Linked DNA regions of Schizosaccharomyces pombe. Changing the gene in region 1 together with any one later gene gives a genetic interaction. Each region holds a gene or a part of one and is shown in the gene's direction. Other genes may lie near its edges.

Region 1 (8,296 bases):
CCATGAACTCAAAGCAATATCGGTATTTGGATCAAGGTTTGAGCAAAAGGAGATTAGATTTTTATTTGGACTACGATGAATTAAAGTCGCAAGTGCACTCGATTCATAAGCCCGTGTTTTTGGATCCAAAGCTGAACGAAGCTTCGATGCAAGGCCACCCAAAGGCTCCTTCATCAACTCTTCAATTACACATCTCTGTGACTTCATGTTAAGCATTAGTCCTGGATACGTTGGTGAAATATTGCAGTACTGCCGTACATCAACAGCACGACAAAGTGTGGATGTGGCTGTAGGGTTCAATCGAGAAATGCAGCAGCGAATAATGGCTTACCAGACGAATGTGGTAAGGGAATCGTCGGTGGATATATATTCTGAGGCAAACGACGAGGGGAGAGTTTTTGTAGCCAGTGTTTTAAGAGCGGTGAGTGAGTTATGGTCGAAGCAAAAGTAACTCCAAATACATTTAGGAGGAGGAGGATGTGATTTATCAACGCTTTCAAGTTCGGAATAAAAAGGAGGTGACTTCAAAATGAAATGATCCATCTCAGAACCTGGTTCGTAAGAGTCTTCGAGTAAAGGGATAAGGTTGTAACGGGGAAGGTTACCATCGCTAGTAAATGGTTCATTGCAACAAGCTTTAGAAAAGAGGTTGATAACCTAACCTTGGCCGGTCATATCCATTGCATTGTGCTGACCGACAAACGTAAGCACGAGACCACCAGTGATGAAACTGGCTTGGACAAGGAAAACTGGATCTGAGCCTAACGTTTGTTCATCAGGATCTCCTGGAATCGTTTTGCGAGGTGCGAAAATACTTTCGTTCAGCATACTGAAAGGAAAATCGGCTTTTCTGAGCGCGTCCATGGAGGGTATAGAAGGGACATGCTGAAGATCTTTGACAAAGAAAGGAGGCGTTTTCTCATACGGTTTAATCTTGAATATATTAAAGCTTTTTCCTTCTGAACTTTCGTGAACAACCTGACCAGCTAGCCACGGAAAACTGGCTGACAGACGCTCAAGTCCATTTGTCAGCGTCTCAATAATTGCTGAATGTGAGGAATCATCATCGACTATTGGAAAACAAAAGGATATCTGGGTATAGATTTTAAGTGATAATTGCTGTGCTAAAACATCCGCGAAATCATAGTTGTTTCATCCATGATATTGGTTGCACTAATATGTAGTGGGCTGATATAGCGTACATGGGTATGGTATGGGTACGACTCTCTGTAGCAGGCTCAATTAAGCAGCTTGCTTAAGAAAAGGAACTGTAGGGTTTCTCAATACATTTTGCCAACTGAAGGACCATGTAGCATTGAGTATTTTTTGTAGGTTACAAGGTAATCGCGGCAATGTGAGTTACGTGTTGAAAGAATTTTGGAGTCGAACTCAAGTCCAGCAGAAATGTCTATTTTTATACATATTGGCTCAACCTCCATCTACACTCATATGTTAAAATGGTTAAACATATAACGCACTCAAGCACATTAGAATCCATCAAAAAAACAATCAAGGGTTACAAGATGAACGTTTATGGCTTAAAAAAAACCATCTCTGCATCTAACTGCATCAAGAATTCTTAACCCAAATAATGTACGTCGAGCTATTAGTAAAAGCCTGTTTTTGTTTATAGTCTTAATGTTTAACTAAAAAAGCTGGGTCTCTAGGGAAAAGTATACTATTAAAATCAGCAAATACGGTATATTTTAGATTTATAGTCATGATTATTCAATAATTCGTTCAATATAAAAGGCATAACAAAGAGTAATAGGCACTGCTAATAATTGTGCATTTTTTGAAATAGTCAGAATCCTCTGGAGAATAAAGTGCTATCTTCTTATCAGATGAAGATAAACTCACTTAGGCCTATCAAGCAAAACGTAACTTTAGTAACAAAAGGAGCTTGAAGATCTTAAAGATAATTTGTATTAAATCATAATTGCTAAATAAATTAATAAAAGGGAATATGTGGTATTGGAGTTTCGCCCGTAATTTTGGCAGTTAAAAAATGGCGACACGGTTAAAACAAGTAGGTAAGGGTGGGTAAGTAGTTTTGAAGATGGAAAGAATATTGAAAGGTTGCAACAGGTTAGGCTGTAATTTAAACAAGTAAAAAATCACTTTTTATTATATTCACAGTTTTTTGACTTTTTTTTTTTATTTTCCAGTCGTTATACAAGGATCGTCGTAAACTAAGATACAACAGGGTAAGTTACTCATCGCTTTCAGGTAAACAAGAACACTGTCTTTTTATGATGATTCATTTTGAATTCGGACACAAAAAGCAGAAACGGGAGACCCAAAGAAATCAAGCTTTTCGTACTACTTCAAACCGGAGGAATTAAGTCTTAAACGGTTCAATAATGCATTTAATATGGGCAGAAGCACATAACGATATCCCACACTAGGAAAGCCCAAAGCAAGGCTAATTAATCCAAGCAACGAACCAAACGTCAAACTAAACATCAACGAGAATAAAAGTACAATTAGGCTAAATTTAAGAAATACACTTTGATGTTTAAACCATTGATAGCCCTCTTTGGATACCTCTTCAATAGACGAGTAGCTATAGCGCGACATAAGACTAGGACGACCATCATTTTCTAGATGTGGAGATTGCCCAATTGGAGATTCATCCTTCAATTCTCTTTTGATATCGATATTCTGTTCAGTCATTTTGTTTTGTGGCAATTTAGTTTAATATTCAATGTGTTCCAAAAGAAAAATAAACGTTAATAAAGGTAACTGTTGTATTATTAGACAATAGTCCTTAGCAATCTATTTAAATGTAACAATTGCTTTAGTAATTTATACTTTTTCTCTTTTAAAGTCAGTGAACCGTTGTTGGGAAAAGTCAAGAATCAAGGTTAGAAACATATACGTATTCATTTTATTTACGCCTTCCCCCACATTGGATATTGCCAACAATGAACAATGACATTAAACTTCTGCAGAGGCGAAAATAATGCTATACATTCATTTTATTTATTAAAATGATTTATGAGCGAATTGCCTTCTTCCAACAGTCAAACTCGAATTCCCCTTCACTAAAACATACGGGAACTGTTTTGCGCAGTGTCCACTATTGGGAAATGGAAAAATCGAATTTGCTAGACGAATATGGATGGAATTCTTGTCTATTCCTTTTTCTATTTTTTGTTTGATTTTTTAAATAAATTAGCTTGTTTATCGAATTTATCTGGATGGGGTTTATCGTTAAAAAAAAACACCCTACCCAAAAAAAAAAAATTTATTTATTTTTATAAGTATTTTTATTCATTAACCTTCTTCTGGCATACGAGTCACAATCAACCTTTTAATTTTGACAATAATATAATAGAAATAAAATAAATTTTCAGTCGTGGTAATTTCTATTACATATTCGTTTAATGTAATGTGTTTTGACATTACTAAAATGGGATGAAAACATCCTTTTACGAGTCTATTTAATCATACAGAAAAAATGGCATTGAAGATGCAATTAATGAATGGAATTCATTTGATAAATGTATTCAATGGAAGGATAATGCTTCCAAAATAAGGATGGTCAAAATTTAACTCAAGATTGTTAAAACAAGGTTGTAATCGGAGTTTTCCGTTTTATTGAAAAACATATCCCCTTATGTCTTATGACTATTTTAATTGAATAACATAATTCAAATGCCTTTTGTTGCCTTCTATGCACATATGTGAACGTAAATCTAGCGCATCATTTTATAATACAGTTAGTAGGCCGAAACATACAAGCATATAACAAAGATAAATCAACTTCTTCGAGGAAGCATATTCCCTTGATCATGCTCAACAGTTTCTAACTTCAATACAAGCTTTTTTTATTCATTTATTTAACTATTTGTTGCTACACATACTAGTTTGTTTATGTATCATATTCATTGTCGGCATGGCAACGTGGATTTATTTACGCGCAGCGCGTACTCATTTAACCAGCACCACGTATATTCATTTTTACAAATACCCAGCTTATATCGTAGTGAGGAGGCGAATTTTGCGAAAGAAAGCATTTCTTTCATTTTAATATTTATTAATTTTTTGTTTATTTTTGTTCTTTTTTGATTCCCCTCTTTTTTTTGTCTTTACTCTTTAATTTCTTTCTATCTTTTTCTCCTAATCATATTAAGCTTCTTATGTTCTATTCAGAGGCCATTCTTTCAAAAAAGGTATGTAGTTTATAAGTTTTCTTTAGCGCGTAAACAGTGCTAATTTGTCTTTGAATCGTCTGACTAACTGTTCGCGTTAGGGTCCTTTGGCCAAGGTATGGTTGGCAGCTCACTGGGAAAAGAAACTTTCCAAAGTGCAAACTTTGCACACCAGTATTGAGCAAAGCGTCCATGCAATTGTCACGGAGGAAACCGCTCCAATGGCCCTTCGCCTATCAGGACAACTAATGTTGGGTGTTGTTCGCATTTATTCCAGAAAGGCTAGGTATTTATTGGAGGATTGTACGGAAGCGTTGATGCGTTTGAAAATGTCCTTTCAACCGGGTCAGGTTGATATGATTGAACCAGCTACTGCTCTCCAATCTTTAAAAGGTAAAGATGCTGTGACACAGAGCGCTAATCTCACTCTTCCTGAGACAATTACAGAGTTTGATCTTTTGGTACCTGATAGTACATTTGATTTTCAATGGTCTCAACTTCTTCGTACACCCTCTCGTTCTTCGAACACTCTTGAACTACATTCTTTACCAATATCTTCCTCTCCTTCTTTTCCATCTTCCCAGCTATCAATTGAGGCTGGACGAAATGCCCAAGTAGAATCAGGGTTTTCCTTGGGCGAATCATTCGCACATGTTGGCAATGATATGCAGTTTCATCTTCCCATTTCAAATTCCGGTGCTGCTACACCTAGAAGTGTGCACTCTGATAATCAGTCCCAAATTTCTATAGAAGTAGGTAGAGATGCTCCTGCTGCTGCTGCCACCGATTTAAGTGGAATTATTGGGCCTCAAATGACTAAGTCGCCGGCTAGTTCAGTCACTCATTTTAGTACGCCAAGCATGCTACCAATAGGAGGAACTTCATTGGATGATGAATTGTTGGCTCCTGTTGATGATTTAAACCTGGATTTGGGCTTAGATGATCTTTTAGGAGATGAACAAGGTGCTAATGCTCCGGCGATAGAGGCTGATGAACAAGCTGAAACATCAAGTATTCATCTCCCTTCTGACATTATGGAAGATGATTCATCTCGTCCTGCAGCAGCAGGAGTAGAGGAAGGTCAGGTTGTTGAAAGCGCCACTGCTCCTCAACAGGAAAAGATCAATCCACAGAAAACTGTACGTCGTCAACGTGCAATTATTGATCCCGTTACTGAATTGTCCTCCAAGCAAATGAAAAAACAATTGGCAGATACATCTTCCATCACCTCACCGTTATGCTTGAATACATCTTCCATCGTGTTTAATGCCACCGTTAATTTTACTCGAAACGGTAAATTTAATACTTCCATATTTTCTTCCAACCTGAACCCTAAAGTAAACGAGCTTTTGCAAGCTGATTTCAAACAGGCAATTCTAAGAAAGAGAAAAAATGAGAGCCCAGAGGAAGTCGAGCCTGCCAAGCACCAACGTACTGATACCTCAACTGAAAACCAAGAAACTGCTGAAGTCTTGGACCCTGAAGAAATTGCAGCCGCTGAGCTTGCCAACATTACTGAAGCCGCTATCGCTACTTTACCACAAGAAACCGTTGTTCAACCAGAAGGAGAAGCTCCTGAGCTTGGTTCGCCAATGGGATTTCCTGTTACTGCCTTGGAATCAGCCGATGATTCACTTTTTGACGCTCCTCCCGTAATGCTGGACGAGGCCGATTTGCTGGGAAGCGAACGATTGGACTCTTCGGTATCTGAGGCCCTTCCTAGTTCACAAACAGCCAAAGATTCTCTACGCAATAAGTGGGATCCTTATACTGAAGGTGAAAAAGTATCCTTCCAAACTCTTAGTGCGGGATGCAATAGAGAGGAAGCTGTTCAACTTTTCTTTGATGTCCTCGTTTTAGCGACGAAGGATGTTATATCTGTCAAGCAGGATGTTGCCATTCAGAACGAAATCACGCTTACTGCTAAACGTGGAATGCTACTTTCATCACTATGAGAGGTCGGTTAATATTTTTTCAAAATCCAATTAGATCTATAAATAAGTGTGAATACTTACACGAAATAGATTTTTATGACAGTAATATTGTTCATTGCTTTCTTTTATCTTTATTTTATTTTTGGAATCACGAGTTGTATGTCTTTCTTTTTCCGAGTTACGATATTACTGTTGGATGTATGTAATATTATCAGCTCAACACAAAGTTATGATTAGAAATAGCTTACGCGCTTTTTAATTTATTCTCAATGATTGATCTATCTCTTAAAAATCTTCCTTTCAATGCGATGATACGGGTTTACTAGGATTGAATATATAAAGACAATATGATCATATTATATTAGGCGTATCTTTTTTGTACCCAATGGTTGAGAATTTGGAAGCGAGGAAGCTACGGTAACTTGCATACCTTTGGAGCGCGCCCAATCTATTGCATCTCTAGAAACAGAATCACAATTAATAATATCTATACGTTTTAATTCTTTCAGTCCTCGTAAAACTGCTATAAATCCCGATCCATCGAGGGATATTGAATTTGAAAAGTTCACATACTTTAGATTTGGACAACAATCAGTAATGTGTATTGCATGCTTATTTTGAAGAGCAACGTTATCAGGAATCTCAAGATGCTCAAGTTCCGGTAAAGATGCAAATATTTCAAAGAAATGGGGGGCCAATGCTAGCGAATCGTGTAGAACCAGCTTTTTTAGTTTGTAACAAGAAGTCAAAAATTTGACAACATTATCGATATCATTTTGAGATAAACGAAGATAAAGAAATAACTCTAAGTTGATTAGTGATTCCATCCGGACATTTGTAGGGAATAAATATGGACATAAAATTGTAGATGCAGGATTGCAGGGTTTCACAATTAACGTGGTAAGAGATTGAGGAAGGAATGCTAGATCTTTAACAGTATTCGATACTCCTTCATCAATGATAATTAACGATCGGAGATTAATTTTATATTTTTTTATTGCAGCAACTAGGTCTGACTGATATGAGGCTTCCAGATATTCTAAATATGGACTGGCAGACAGCAAGTCTTTAAGAAATTGCTGTTCTTTATGGTGAAAGGGAAACTTTTGATTTCGGATAAACGTCAAAGATTTAAGAGCCAGCGGTACAGATTCTGCATTAAAGAGTTTATCCCAATCCATAGAATCAAATATCAAATCGGGAATTAAGTCAACAAGCTCAACCTGCTTGAGTTTCTTACAGCAAGATAAAATCTTAGAAGCTATGGAAAATGTTATAGGAGTAGCACAATAAAAGTAGTGAAGTTCAGAAAATGGCGTCCAAATTGTATACAATTTATCCGTTGACTGAGTGTGGAGAGGTGAAATGGTTTTGTAGACTTTAAGTGATTTGACTGAACGAAGTAAGGCTTTGGTAGGTGTTAATATACCAAGCTTCTCTAAGCCAATTACTTCCTGTATATTGTCTTTTGAATAAACAGAGTATCGAGCAACAGCCATAACGTTTCGATCTCTAGAGTTTACACTTCGAGGAGAGGCGCATGAAAAGTCTAAGCAACAAAATAAGCTAGGTTCTTTCTTAATACAGTCTCTCCAGTGTTTGCAGACTTGCATACACTGAACAATACTTTTGAAATTTAGTTGCTGTAGAATACATAATAGGACTTCTCGGGGAAGAATGCGAAACAAATCTAGTACCGGCCTGGTCCGAAGAATTCTTTCATTCAATCTTTGGCTTACTTTTTTTAATACCGGTCTCAAGGGATCCATTTTATGCACCATTCGCAGGCCTTGCGTATACAATTGATCTGCTTTCTTATCAAAGCCGTCAAGCTGTAAAAGTTTTCCCAAGCGTAGGTAACCTCTAGCATTTCTTGCATTCAAATGAATCATCCGTTTAGCATCAAGTTCTGCTTGTGAGTATTGACCTGACTTTTCGTAAACTTGAGCCCTTAGTTCAAACAAGTCAATCGTAGGATTGGGCTCCTGTTCGATGGTTTTAGTAATGAATGTCAATGCATCTTCAAACTTCCTTTTAGAGAGATATTGCTGGGTCTTCTCCTTTATTGCTTTTACTTGATAGTTATTCATGAATCCAAATCTTAATTTCTATACCCAACGATTTATTTTTTCTATACATAAACATAAACCTCCCATATAGCTTCCAATGAACCGTATTTTAAGAACCTCGATATCCTTTTTGAGG
Region 2 (5,651 bases), on another chromosome or scaffold:
GTGATGTAAGCTCAGCAAGGCTAGCATCATATGTTAATGAAATAAGATTTCTCGCAATATAGTTTGCGGCTTCGTTGGTACCAGAGTTCGGAGGTGGCTCAAAAAATAATGTTTTATAACATGACAATACATGGTTCTGAATGTTGTTCCCTTCGTCGGAGGTTCCTTTTACCCAAATTAAATGAATCATTTTTTTTATATATAATTTTGAAGACGAAATTCCAAAAGAATTGCAAAAAACAAAGAAATCCATTGACTCAATTACCTCGCTCTTATTTTTAGCAAACAACAACTGGCTTATTATTTTTGCTCCCGCTTCCACAATGTCTATATATTGGAGTGCTTCTAAATAAAACCGTTTCGTTAAATTCACTTTGACTATTTCCTCAGCAGGAACAGAATCGACATATTCGCTTAGAGAATTTTCCAAGTGACTTTCTCCTTCATGTGACTCATCATCTTGGATCATAGTAGCATCCTCTAATAAGTTTTCATCGACTTCAAGCTCTGAATCTACCACCTTTTCTTGTTGCTTTGGTTGTAAAGAATTAAGCTGTTCCTCGATGATAGATAATCCTTTCTCCCAAATATTTCTGGTTAGTAAGCCATTGTGCATAACTGAAAAAGGATGGGTAGTTAAAAGTTTAGAAAATAACTTAATTGCATTTCGGCGGACATGACTTGACCGATCTTGCAAACATCTGATCACGAGTTCCGCGATTTCTTGACGTTTTCTGGGATACTTAATTGGTAAATCAAATATTTTGATAAAGACGTGAAGTACTTTAGTACGACAGTAAGGGCTTATATCTAGTAATCGCTCACTGAGAAGATCCATTAAGCTTTGAACAGTTGCTGGCACTGACTCTGACATTTCATTTTGAGCCTCATCATGAATTTGATCAATGACCACATTAGCAAGTACTTCTATGATAGCGCATCTCAGAGTATATGATTCCGAATCAAGCAGCTTAACTAATTGAGTAAGCTGTTTCAAACATAAGTTTGGAATAAGTGAAGAAAGACGGACAAGAAACAAAGCGACTTGCTTGGGACCTTTAACATCGTTATCATTAAATTCTAGAGAGCACAATGTTCGAATAATTCCTTCAGCCAAGGTAACGGAATTAAACTGAACGGTAACAATATGAACAAGATCAGCAGCATACTCAGATAAATGCTCAAAGTATTGTAAATTTTGAATAATATTTGTCTCCGCTGCAGTGGTATGGTTATGGAATTGAACAGCAAGCCCGATAATATTAAATAAACGAGAACGGAAAGAAGCATTTTTTATGTTAATTTCACTTTCCATTAACGTGTATATTGGTTTTAGGAAAAGTGAAAGAAACATGTCTCTTTCCGAAGAAGTAGTCCATACACGAGATAATTTTTTTTGAAATAATGTTATGATTGCATCTAACAAAGCATTTACATGTGAGATACCATTCCAGTTAGAGTTAGTAGTTGGATTTTTTTTTCTTCCCTTAACAGTATTAGTGGATGACCGAATAACTGAAAGTTGATTTGAGGAAGAAAGGGAATTGACCGTGAGCTGAAATGCAATGCCTGTAGTTTCTAAATTCGTTTGAGGTACAGTAAAATCAGTAGCATTTGCGGAAATCATATCTTCAAGAATAGCGGATTCAGAGCTGATATTACTCGTGAGTAAATCATATACTTTATTCCTTACAGAGGAAGAGAGGTCAGCAAAGTGTCTAAACCATTATTGTTAGTTTGGTAAAATTGATATATAGTAAACCAAATGGCTTCCTTCTATTTGAATAACACAAAATAACAACTACTTACGAACATATAGCAAAGAGTTTTTCCAAGCAATCCTCGTCGAAACAAGAACTCGTTCCTAATAAAAGGGTATCAATGACGTCTAATTTTTCATTGTTAGTTATTGTGGAATCGATCATTTTCAATTTTTTTAAAAACCCAAATGTCCATACCGTTAACCACGGCTGTCAATCCAGCATTTTCACATTCAGCATAAATCGAGTCCAAGTCGGAATTTTCTTCATCATGAATGTATTTCTTTAATCTAGAAAGAAGATCCAACGACATTGAGGCCACTGAAAGCCGAATCTTTCTATGTTACGAATGAAATAAAAGATGGATTTGGCGTACTACATTCTAGTAGTCCTTGTAAACAATAACCCCACCTATATGTCCTGTGTGGGGGTCCATTTATACTTTCTTACTAACAAAAAAGAGCTACGGTTAGTCAAAATATAAAATAGGAGCTAGACTTAATTGTTGCTAACCACTTTAAGGATATAGAACGTGCTTTTATTAACTCATTTGTTTACATTAAAAAATAATATTTTAATTAACTTTTATTGAGCGTGCCACGTAAAAGCTATTGTTCTTTTTAGTACTTCTAATTAAATGTTTTGAAAAGAATTTAATATATTTTTTGAATAACGTTAGTTGTAAATTCTTTCTTGAGCTGTATTTCTGATATAAAAACTTATAATTTATTTTGGCGCATGTATCATTTTCAAGGTGATTTTCAAAATTATTATGAATGCAAATTTTGACGAGGTAAGCATTTGTGCTGTTTTTAGAATTTTAAAGTAATACACAATAAACTAAACAGAAAACCTATCGTAGTTTAACTAGGAATAAATTTCAAATTCAGGATAATTTTTTTATTTATTTTTAAATAACAGAAAAAAAAAACGTGTTTGAATACCATGGTTAATCATATTTACTCTCAATGTCCAATAAATAGTCAATTCTAGTTGTTTATGGTGGTTATTAACAATAACAAGAGCCCAAAGGATTTATGTTTTTTAAAGCAAGTCCTAAATTTAAAAAAAGATAAAGGACATGAAATCTTAATCTTTTCCATAAGTATACAAATATTATAGCAGAGTACTTTTTTTATTAAACAAAAGTTGGATTAAAAATGTATTTTTCTTGTTTGGAAGTAACAATGTCCCTCATTAGAAGAGCATTTTGCTTAACAATGTACAACTGGTGTTGAACCTGGAATCTGCAAATTCTTATATTCATGGAATGAGTTTGTGTTACACATTTTAAAAACTTGATTTTTTTGAATCTTAGTATTCGTTCGCGTGTTCGGTTTGAAGGTTTAAAATACGTGAAAATTTGTTTTTTCTTGGTTCCTTCCCTTGGCAGCATTTTACCATTTAATTGACGACTCTTTTAATTTTTTTTAAGTTATTATTTGGTTTAAAAATATATGAGTTAAACCGTTAACATGGCAGAGGCCCATATCACACTATCACCTAAAGTAACTCATGAACAACAAACAGATATTGATTCTGAATGTGAAATCACTGAGGTGGACGATGAAAATGTAAACGAAAACAAATCTCAAGAAATGATTCAAGATATCCCTGCACGAGACCGCGAAGAAATTGAAAATATCACAAGGACGTTCGTAGAGCTACAAGAGAACTATCGGCTAATTGAAAAAATTGGAGAAGGTAAACTTCAATTACCGTTTTTAGTACTGTTTTGAAACTATCTTGCTAATTCGTTTAGGTACGTTCTCCAGTGTATATAAAGCGGAAGACCTACATTATGGGAGGTATATTAATGATTGGGACATTCAAAGTGAAGTGTTAAAGGAATCTTCTTTTGGAAAAGAAAAAATTCCTGTTAATGAAGACAGCCGGAAACCGAAGTACGTTGCTATAAAAAAAATTTACGCGACAAGTAGTCCTGCTAGAATATACAATGAATTAGAAATCCTATATTTATTAAGGGGATCGTCGGTAATAGCCCCGCTAATAACTGCTTTAAGAAATGAAGATCAGGTACTCGTAGTTTTACCCTACTACGAGCATACTGACTTTCGTCAATATTATAGCACTTTTTCCTATCGCGATATGAGCATTTATTTTCGATGCCTTTTTCAAGCTATGCAGCAAACTCAGACTTTGGGAATCATTCATAGAGACATTAAGCCTAGTAACTTTCTCTTCGATGTTCGTACCAAGCATGGTGTCTTAGTTGACTTTGGATTAGCAGAGCGTTATGATGGAAGACAACAATCACATTCTTGCCGGTGCACTAATTCAAATGCGGCCGAATTAGCACATGATTTTTCGATTGCGCAGGAAACATCTCTTGGATACATAAAAAACGATACTCGACCAAGCAAACGGGCCAATAGAGCCGGAACTCGAGGATTTCGAGCACCTGAAGTATTGTTTAAATGCTCATCTCAATCACCCAAAGTTGATATTTGGTCTGCTGGGGTTATTTTGTTATCTTTCCTTACTAAACGTTTCCCCATGTTTAATTCAAAGGACGACGTGGATGCACTCATGGAGATAGCATGTATATTTGGAAAAAGCGAAATGCGCCAATGTGCTGCTTTACACGGTAAGAACGATCTAATGTCCCTTACGGAAGTGTTTGTGTTGATTTTTTTCGCTAACCTGCCAGGTTGTACGTTTGAGACAAATGTAAGCACGCTTACAGAAAAAAGAGTAAACTTTAGGAAACTTATTTTGTGGGCCAGTTGTGGTTCAGCCAGTATATACAAAGAAAAGCTTCGTCATAAACCAAGCCAAGAAGAGCGATTGTGCCTGGATTTTTTAGAGAAATGTCTTGAACTTGACTGTAACAAAAGGATTTCAGCTGAGGAAGCATTGGATCACGATTTCTTGTATCTCGATAATTTAGCTTACGAAAAGAAAGATGACGATACAGCTTTTGATAATAGCTTTGGAGAAACCTCTTTCGAGAAAGACGAAGACTTAACTGCTAAGCACTTATCCCATATCCTTGATTTTAAAGAGCAGGAAGAAACAGATGAACCTACTTCTTTATCAAAGCGGAAGCGAAGTATTGATGAAATTTTACCAAATGATGCTTTGCAGGATGGAGCTTGAGAAGATTTGCTGGCAATTTCTCATCAAGCAATCACTTATATTTGTGCATACATTTTCATTTACAGTATAAGCATTACTGTAATCATTGGGTATTAAAGTGAAAGCATTATTGTATGTCTATACATCGAAAATACCCTATGGAATTTTTGGGGTGCATTTTCAGTTACAAACATTAATCCATAATTAATTTTACCATAGCATAACGAACACATATCAGCAGGTGAGGCTTTTTCACTTACTGACTTAATTGAAATAAAATCTCTATACACTATTTGACCAGAGAATAACACTACAGATTGATCATACAACAATTATATTCCATCAAAGTATAGACGGATAAACGAATCAAACAAAATTAATTTTATTAAGCCACTAAGCAATCACAGGATGTTCTTAGGCAATGAGCTCAACGACACCACCAGCTTGCTTGATCTTCTCTTCAGCACGACGAGAGACATAACGTGTTTGAATGATGACGGGAGTATCAGGCAGACGACCCTTACCCAAAACCTTACCGTAACCAGATTGTAAGACATTAATAACGGGGGCAACCTCCGTGTTTTTACCAAGATACTTTTCACGAGTTTCGTTGGGAACCAAGGTCCAAAGACGATCCAAATTGACAGTAGGACGCCACAAAGGATTCTTCATGAGGTGGAATCGACGCATACCAACCTTACCAAAGTAACCAGGGTGATACTTATCAAAGTGACTACGGAGGTGTTGCAAACCACCGGCCTTACCACGACCACCGGGATGCTTCCTGTGCTT
Region 3 (7,851 bases), on another chromosome or scaffold:
CTTTTTCCAAAGTTGAGGAGTTCGCAAATAACTCTATGCCCTCTAAAGTTGGAATGTATGTGCCATTGGAGTCGAACACAGTCTATCAACATTCACCCACTTATGATACTTACGGTTGGCAAAGTATGTATCCCTCTTATTCCGTTTATCCCTCAAACTATGAAAACAGCAGAAGTACTACGCCATATCATGCCCATCCCGCTACTTCTGCTGCTAATTAAATTTAAACATCTTTCCAGCATTTACTTGAACATCAAACTCTAATATCGAAATCTTTTCAAACACTTATCACATACTCAAACTTAAACCAACATAAAACCTGTTAGACAAAGCTTACAATTAAGGGCCAAAGCTTTCTTTCTATGTTTTTTCTTTTATTTATTATCAGGTTATATAACAAAGGTCAAACCACTACAGTATTAATGAATGATATTATACATATTTGCTTAATCGTATAAAAAGAGAGAGGTATAAATAGTCCTTGAGTGTTCAAGATAATTGCACACTGTGAATTAAGAGGATAAAAGGGATGCAAAATTCTCCTTGATTATCCAACCATCAGATACTGATTTTCCTTTACGCACAGCGACTTTTCCAAGAGTTTCGCTGATAATATTTTTGGTTACGTAAGGAAACATGTGCCTCAAATTCTCGATCAGGAATACTTTGTTGTCATGAGAGTTACGGACATATTCTATAAATTTGGGTATATCTTCAGAAGGAAACCTTACTTGTAAATCATCAGAAAGTGAACTGGTAGGTCCAATTGTCATTCCACTAGACGCTGGAGCAGTATCTTGAGAAGCCCATAAATCCTCTTTAGGATCAATTTGGAGATATGTAGATGCTGAAAATGAACTAATGGGTTCAATTAAAGATAAGCAATTAAAGTCAGGAAGAAACTTTGAATCCCAAACCGGACCTTCTACGATTACCTCTAATGGGCCGGAGGAACGATGGGTATTAGAAGCATTGACACTATCCTTGTCATCATCCTCATCATCCACAAAAGCATTATCACCATCCTCTACAATATCATCGGAATTATCTACCTCTTCATCTTCACTTTCTAAATCTTCTCCATCATCTTCCTCATCAGCTACCCATTCTGCTTCTGAATCATATGTGTAGTCTATGTCTTCATCTTCAAGCCAGGGATTCAATAAAACGTTAGAACCATGGGAATGGGTTTTCGTGTAAGATCCAAAATATGGAGGGCGAACATCCTGATAAAAGAAAATGAATTTAATAGGAATCTGTGATAAACAAGATAAAATTTCTTGAGGTTTTGAAACAGATGGATCTTGATATGCGCTCATTAATTGTCGAACCTCGTTTTCGGAATTTCTATTACTAACACCTAAACTGTTTGCGGAGCTTACAGCATCTGATGGTGTAAAAATGTCGTTTAGCTTTAAAGGATAAGATTTAGAGGTTGAGAGGACTTCATCCAAAAAAGAATCAGATTCGTTCGGAGATGGATATTTGGAAAGGGACATCTGATGCTTTATAAAAAAAGGGCGAAACTCTTTCTCAAACTCATTCAGTTCATCCGTTTTGTCAGCTACAAAATTTTCGTTTGGCGCGATTCGTTTCTCAACTCCTTTGGTGAAAAAGTTGTTTAACTTCAATTGTTGTCTTTCCTTATTAAGGATTTGTTCTTGACGAAGGCGCTGTGCTTCTTCTTTCTCACGAAGCTTTTGATCCCTCTCCTCCTTCCGCCTTTGTTGTTCCTGCAATCGAATCCGCTCCTTCTCTAATTTCTCTAATTCTTTCATTTTCTTAGCGGCGATTTTTTCCTGTTCTCTTAGCTTTTTCTCTTGCTCTCGTTGTTGACGTTCCTTTTCACGTTTTAAACGCTCTGCTTCTTTTTGTCGAATCCTTTCCTCTTGGGCCCGCTGTTTTTGAAGCTTCTTTTCTTTACCCGCTTCAGCAGAGCCATTATAAATTCTTTTCTTTCTATTACCCTCATAACTTAATTTGCAAACGTACTCATCAGCTTCACTTGCAGAGTGACTGGAATGAATAACCGATTCATTCGGGGAACTCACTGATAAAGACGTAATGTCAGTGGAAGAGCTACATAACTCATTTCCCTTATTACTAGTAGAGGCCGCGACATCTGAATCAACACTTTCACTATTCATAGACAATGCTGCGAATATCAATAACAAGCCTAAGGGAGGCTAAAAACCGTGCGTAAGTTGTTTTAACGGACGCTCTGATCGAATAAAGAGGATAAAGGAGAGTTCGTAAATTATATGTTAATATTCTATTATATACATCACTATCCCAAATCTGTCTCACCAATCTATTATTCATCCATCTTAACGCTTATATAATTGAATAATTTAATTCCTTAGTTCTAACAAGATATGTACTGATTGATCTGAGTAGCTTAAACATCAAAGTTTTTTGCGAATGGGTTAATATGGTGATTTGTTATATATTTTACCTGACTACGATTATATAATATTACTGCTACATTGCATTACGATATTAATGTTAATATTTTATGGCTCATCTATATTATGATTGAGTTAATATCAGTTGACGAGAATTTTCTTTGAAATTATTTGCCATATTTTTTAACTGGTGATTGGAGTACCACAAATTCATTAATAATGAAACAAACGGATGTTGTTATCATCAATTTTCTTCCTATTTATATGCAGCAAACTTCTTTCAATAACGATGCATCGTACATATATAGGCAGGGGCTATGCAGCTTAGAATAGTAATTCGCTGGAAGGATAATATCATAATAACGAGGTTCTTGTTACAGTGAATATCAAGTTGCACTATATATTATATCGTGGATTTCTGAAACTTTATGAGATGTAATCGTAATGAGTAGGTAACAATATCTAATCAAGTAAAGACGCGTACGCGAGTTTCATACACACCTTGTACATTCCTTTTACCAAGTTTTCCTAATGGGACGTTTACTAAGACTGGAAGTTGAAAACTTTAAGTCTTATCGAGGACATCAAATTATAGGTCCTTTTGAGGACTTTACCTCGATTATCGGTCCTAATGGAGCCGGAAAATCGAATTTAATGGATGCCATTTCTTTTGTTTTAGGGGTCAAGTCTTCTCATTTACGATCAACTAATGTTAAAGAACTGATCTATCGGGGGAAAATACTGCAAAGAGATAATACAGATTTCACTGATTCTAGTAATCCTACTACAGCATATGTGAAACTTATGTATGAGTTGGATAATGGGGAGCAAAGAGAGTATAAACGCGCAATCACTCCTTCTGGTGCTACTGAATACAAAATTGATGAAGAAATAGTTACGTTTTCTGAATACTGCGGATCTCTCCAAAAGGAGAATATTCTTGTTCGAGCTCGAAATTTCTTAGTTTTTCAAGGTGATGTTGAAACCATTGCTTCGCAATCTCCTTTAGAACTTTCAAAGCTTGTTGAACAAATAAGTGGCTCTCTGGAATATAAATCTGAGTACGATAAATCTAAAGACGAGCAGGACAAGGCTGTAAATTTATCTGCTCATTCGTTTAACAAGAAACGTGGTATCAACGCTGAGTTACGCCAATATCAAGAACAGAAAACTGAAGCCGAGCGTTATCAAAGTCAAAAAGAAAAACGAGACTCTGCGCAGTTAGTTTACCTTTTATGGAAACTCTTTCATCTAGAGAAAAGTATTAGTTCTAATATGGCAGAGGTTACTCGATTAAAGGCAGATTCCATTCAACTTATCGAAAGGCGAGATGAGAACACTAAAGAGATAGAAAAGTTGAAAGAAAAAGAGGGCAGTATACGAAGAAACCTTCTTGCATTCGATAGAAAAGTTCGAAAACAAGAAAAGTTGATTGCTTCGAAACGTCCAGAGCTCATTTCAATTGCCGAGAAAGCCCTAGAGTCTAAGTCAAATCTCCGAAAAATTCAAAGAAAAGCTGCGGAAATAGAAAAAGATTATTCTGACCAAGCTAGTACGTTACAAGTATTAGAAAATCAATTGACTTCACTCTCAGCTGCTGAAAAAGAGTTTTTAAAAGACATGCAGGAAAAAGAGCAACTCAAAGGGTTGCGATTGTTACCAGAGGATAAAGAGGAGTATGAAGGACTTCGAAGTGAGGCGGACAAATTAAACTCAAATCTATTGTTCAAATTGCAGACGTTAAATAGGAATATTAAAGTTACTTCTCAATCAAAGGATTCATTAACGAGCATCGTTGGAGACTTAGAGTCGAAGATTAAAAGCCTTCATGAAAGTGTTTCTTCTCTTGATACCGAGCGAGCGGATTTGCTTGCTAAAATAAATGAAAAGATTGAAAGTTTGGAACTTGAAAAGCATGATCAGCAGAAGAAGAGGTTGACTTATTCTGAGCTTTTTCATAAAACACAAGAATTAAATGAAGAGCTTCAATCTTGTTTACAGAAAATTTTAGAGGCAAGTGCCGACCGCAATGAATCCAAACAGGATGCTAAAAAAAGAGAAGCATTGTATGCTTTGAAAAGGATATATCCTGAAGTCAAAGGAAGAATCATTGACTTATGTACTCCTACTCAAAAGAAATATGAAAGCGCAATCGCTGCTGCTTTAGGCAAAAATTTTGACGCAATTGTCGTCGAAACGCAGGCAGTTGCTAAAGAGTGTATTGACTATATAAAAGAGCAACGCATAGGTATTATGACCTTTTTTCCAATGGACACCATAGCAGCCAGTCCCGTTAATCAAAAATTTCGTGGAACACACAAAGGCGCCCGACTTGCAATTGACGTTTTGAATTTTGAGTCTGAATATGAACGTGTAATGATTAGTGCAGTTGGAAATACACTCATTTGTGATTCAATGACTGTTGCTCGAGACCTTTCCTATAACAAACGTCTCAATGCCAAGACAGTTACTTTAGAGGGAACGGTTATACATAAAACAGGGTTGATTACTGGTGGATCTTCAAACAACCGGTCGGCGAAACACTGGGATGACCATGATTTTGATCTGCTTACTCAAACAAAAGATAGACTTATGCATCAAATTGGTGAAATAGAATATCAAAAGTCATCTTGTGTGATTACAGAAAGTGATACTGTCAAGTTGCATAGTCTTGAATCTGAGATATCTCTACTCAAAGACAAATATACAGTAGTTTCTAGATCCGTGGAAGACAAAAAAAAGGAAATTGGACATTACGAATCTTTAATCAAAGAAAAACAGCCTCACTTGTCAGAATTGGAAATGGAACTTCGCAACTTTGTTAAAAGTAGAGATGAGCTTCAAATTCAAGTAGAAAAGGTTGAGGAAAAGATATTCTCCGGGTTTTGCAAACGAATTGGGATAAGTGATATACATACTTACGATGAGATACATCGCACTTTTACTCAAAGTTTTACACAAAAACAACTCGAATTCACCAAGCAAAAATCATTACTTGAAAATCGTATTAGTTTTGAAAAACAACGTGTTTCAGATACCAGGTTACGATTAGAGCGTATGCATAAATTCATTGAAAAAGATCAGGAATCTATTGATAATTACGAGCAAAATCGGGAAGCACTTGAATCAGAAGTTGCAACTGCCGAGGCTGAGCTTGAATTATTAAAGGAGGATTTTGCAAGTGAGAACTCTAAAACTGAAAAAATTTTATTAGCTGCATCCGAGAAAAAGCTAGTGGGCAAACGATTAGTGTCTGAGTTAACAAAGTTATCAGGAAACATTACTCTTTTAGAATCGGAGATTGACCGCTATGTATCTGAATGGCACGCAATTTTACGAAAATGCAAACTAGAAGATATAGATGTTCCGTTACGCGAAGGATCTTTGACGAGCATACCTATAGATGATGTCTCAAACAGCGGTGATATCACCATGGGCGAAGAGCCGTCTGAACCAGTAATAAATTTTGAGAAATTTGGAGTAGAAGTGGATTACGATGAACTGGATGAAGAGTTACGCAATGACGGTTCTGAGAGTATGGCTTCTGTTCTTCAAGAAAAATTGAGAGAGTATTCGGAAGAGCTGGATCAGATGTCTCCTAATTTAAGGGCTATTGAGAGACTTGAAACAGTAGAAACTCGCTTGGCGAAGTTAGATGAAGAATTTGCTGCTGCTCGTAAAGCAGCCAAAAACGCAAAAGAACGCTTCAATGCCGTTAAGCAAAAGAGATTGCAAAAATTTCAAGCTGCCTTTTCGCATATCTCGGAACAAATCGATCCAATATATAAGGAACTTACCAAAAGTCCTGCTTTTCCTCTTGGTGGAACAGCGTATTTGACTTTGGATGACCTCGATGAGCCATATCTTGGAGGAATCAAGTTCCATGCAATGCCACCTATGAAGAGATTTAGAGATATGGATCAACTTTCTGGAGGAGAAAAGACCATGGCTGCTTTGGCTCTGCTATTTGCTATCCACTCTTATCAGCCATCCCCATTTTTTGTATTGGATGAAATTGATGCAGCTTTGGATCAAACCAACGTTACCAAGATTGCCAACTATATTAGACAGCATGCATCCAGCGGTTTTCAATTTGTTGTCATTTCCTTGAAAAATCAGTTGTTCAGTAAATCAGAAGCTTTAGTGGGTATTTATAGAGATCAACAGGAGAATTCTTCACGAACATTATCAATCAACGTAAGGGATTACTTTTTCTTAATTTTAAAATACTAACGAAAAACAGTTGGAAGGTTATGTGGAGTAAATGATAATATTAACCTGTGATATGCTGCTTAATGTCTGTGTTAATATATTCTAAGAATACTTTATGTTTAATAGGGATGGCAAATATATATTTGCGTAATTTATTTATTTCTAACGAATTTAATTTTAATTGTTTTAAGTTTCCTTCTATAATTGATCAAGGACTTTTTTAATTTACAACGCTTTTTCTTTATGTCCTTAATTGATTTTGTCTCTGAATTGACTGGGCTAATGATAGAAACATTAATTATAAGTCACAATTGTCAGCTACGTTTATGTTTAATCCCTAGTTTCAAGGAAGTTGGGTTTAAGTGAGGTTAATGTTTTCAATATAATTCCAGTAACGCAGTTACGCTTAGACGATTCGGCTCACCCCTTGACTGTTTGTTAACTAATGAATTTGGCTGCATACAATTTTGAGAAGTCTCTACTATTCTAGAAGGCTTTCTCCGGAAACTAACTATTGCATTTTCCTTTTTAGTTTAACAGTATTTGCAGTCACAAACTAGCAAGAATACTTTTAAGAATAAACGTTTTATTAGCGACGAATAGTTTAAAATATGTTTAAACCCAACTAGATGCTAACCGCACTACATTTTTAAAACCGCAGCTTATAGAACTTTAAAATATTAATTTTGCGCTTGAGTTTTCCTCATACAGCTAAATTCAATGATTTGGTAATGGTTGATTGATTCACCGTAGTCTTAGTTAACAATCACGATAGATTTCAAACAAAGAACTTTAAAGAAAAAAACTTACTTATAGTATTATCATGATTTTAATGATTTCGATTGAATAGATGTTTAGAAAAGAAGTACACCAGCATACTCAAACAATGATAGCCGGCTCCTTAAATTATTTCACACATAAACAATAACAAAGCCTTTTATATTTATCCTTTCTTAATGATAAAGTAAATTTTATACTTGTTCGTTTTGGGCCTATCGACTGCAAGAATATATTTGTTGATCAGATACACAACACACTTCCAAGGGTACTACGTTAAAACTGTTACAGAACCAACATCTCGATAACGCACCTGCATTCTTTTGGTGCTTGACGAATGCTTTAAACATGGGAATTAAAGGTCTTTTGGGACTTTTGAAGCCTATGCAGAAAAGCTCTCATGTCGAGGAGTTTTCTGGCAAGACTTTGGGAGTTGATGGATATGTTTGGTTGCACA

The links.
Region 2: mutations in rad21 (region 1) and hsk1 are lethal when combined (synthetic lethality), as found in Schizosaccharomyces pombe (2 studies listed by BioGRID, with this or other methods).
Region 3: of rad21 (region 1) and psm1, a mutation in one rescues a mutant of the other (synthetic rescue), as found in Schizosaccharomyces pombe (3 studies listed by BioGRID, with this or other methods).

What each region holds. Positions count from the first base shown.
Region 1 is NC_003421.2:1,338,947-1,347,242, forward strand, and holds rad21 (mitotic cohesin complex non-SMC subunit Rad21), read left to right. Parts: upstream 1-3,946; 5' UTR 3,947-4,145; coding exon 4,146-4,178; exon of another isoform or gene 4,179-4,258; coding exon 4,259-6,112; 3' UTR 6,113-6,447; downstream 6,448-8,296. Other genes in the region: SPOM_SPCC338.18 (uncharacterized protein), read right to left, coding at 2,323-2,676; F-box protein Pof3, read right to left, coding at 6,448-8,181. UniProt on the Schizosaccharomyces pombe protein: Cleavable component of the cohesin complex, involved in chromosome cohesion during cell cycle. The cohesin complex is required for the cohesion of sister chromatids after DNA replication.
Region 2 is NC_003423.3:3,196,560-3,202,210, reverse strand, and holds hsk1 (Dbf4(Dfp1)-dependent protein kinase Hsk1), read left to right. Parts: upstream 1-3,009; 5' UTR 3,010-3,235; coding exon 3,236-3,464; exon of another isoform or gene 3,465-3,522; coding exon 3,523-4,368; exon of another isoform or gene 4,369-4,431; coding exon 4,432-4,880; 3' UTR 4,881-5,151; downstream 5,152-5,651. Other genes in the region: condensin complex non-SMC subunit Cnd1, read right to left, coding at 1-1,718, 1,810-1,888, 1,959-2,073; rpl2801 (60S ribosomal protein uL15), read right to left, coding at 5,274-5,651. UniProt on the Schizosaccharomyces pombe protein: Required for G1/S transition. Plays a role in DNA replication checkpoint signaling through regulating rad3 and cds1. Involved in the maintenance of mitotic chromosome structures during S phase through regulating the function of rad21.
Region 3 is NC_003423.3:2,537,807-2,545,657, forward strand, and holds psm1 (mitotic/meiotic cohesin complex ATPase subunit Psm1/Smc1), read left to right. Parts: upstream 1-2,909; 5' UTR 2,910-2,936; coding exon 2,937-6,602; exon of another isoform or gene 6,603-6,648; coding exon 6,649-6,669; 3' UTR 6,670-7,351; downstream 7,352-7,851. Other genes in the region: spo5 (meiotic RNA-binding protein 1), read left to right, coding at 1-221; histone H3-H4 chaperone, CAF assembly factor (CAF-1) complex subunit A Pcf1, read right to left, coding at 513-2,147; exonuclease I Exo1, read left to right, coding at 7,743-7,851. UniProt on the Schizosaccharomyces pombe protein: Involved in chromosome cohesion during cell cycle and in DNA repair. Central component of cohesin complex. The cohesin complex is required for the cohesion of sister chromatids after DNA replication.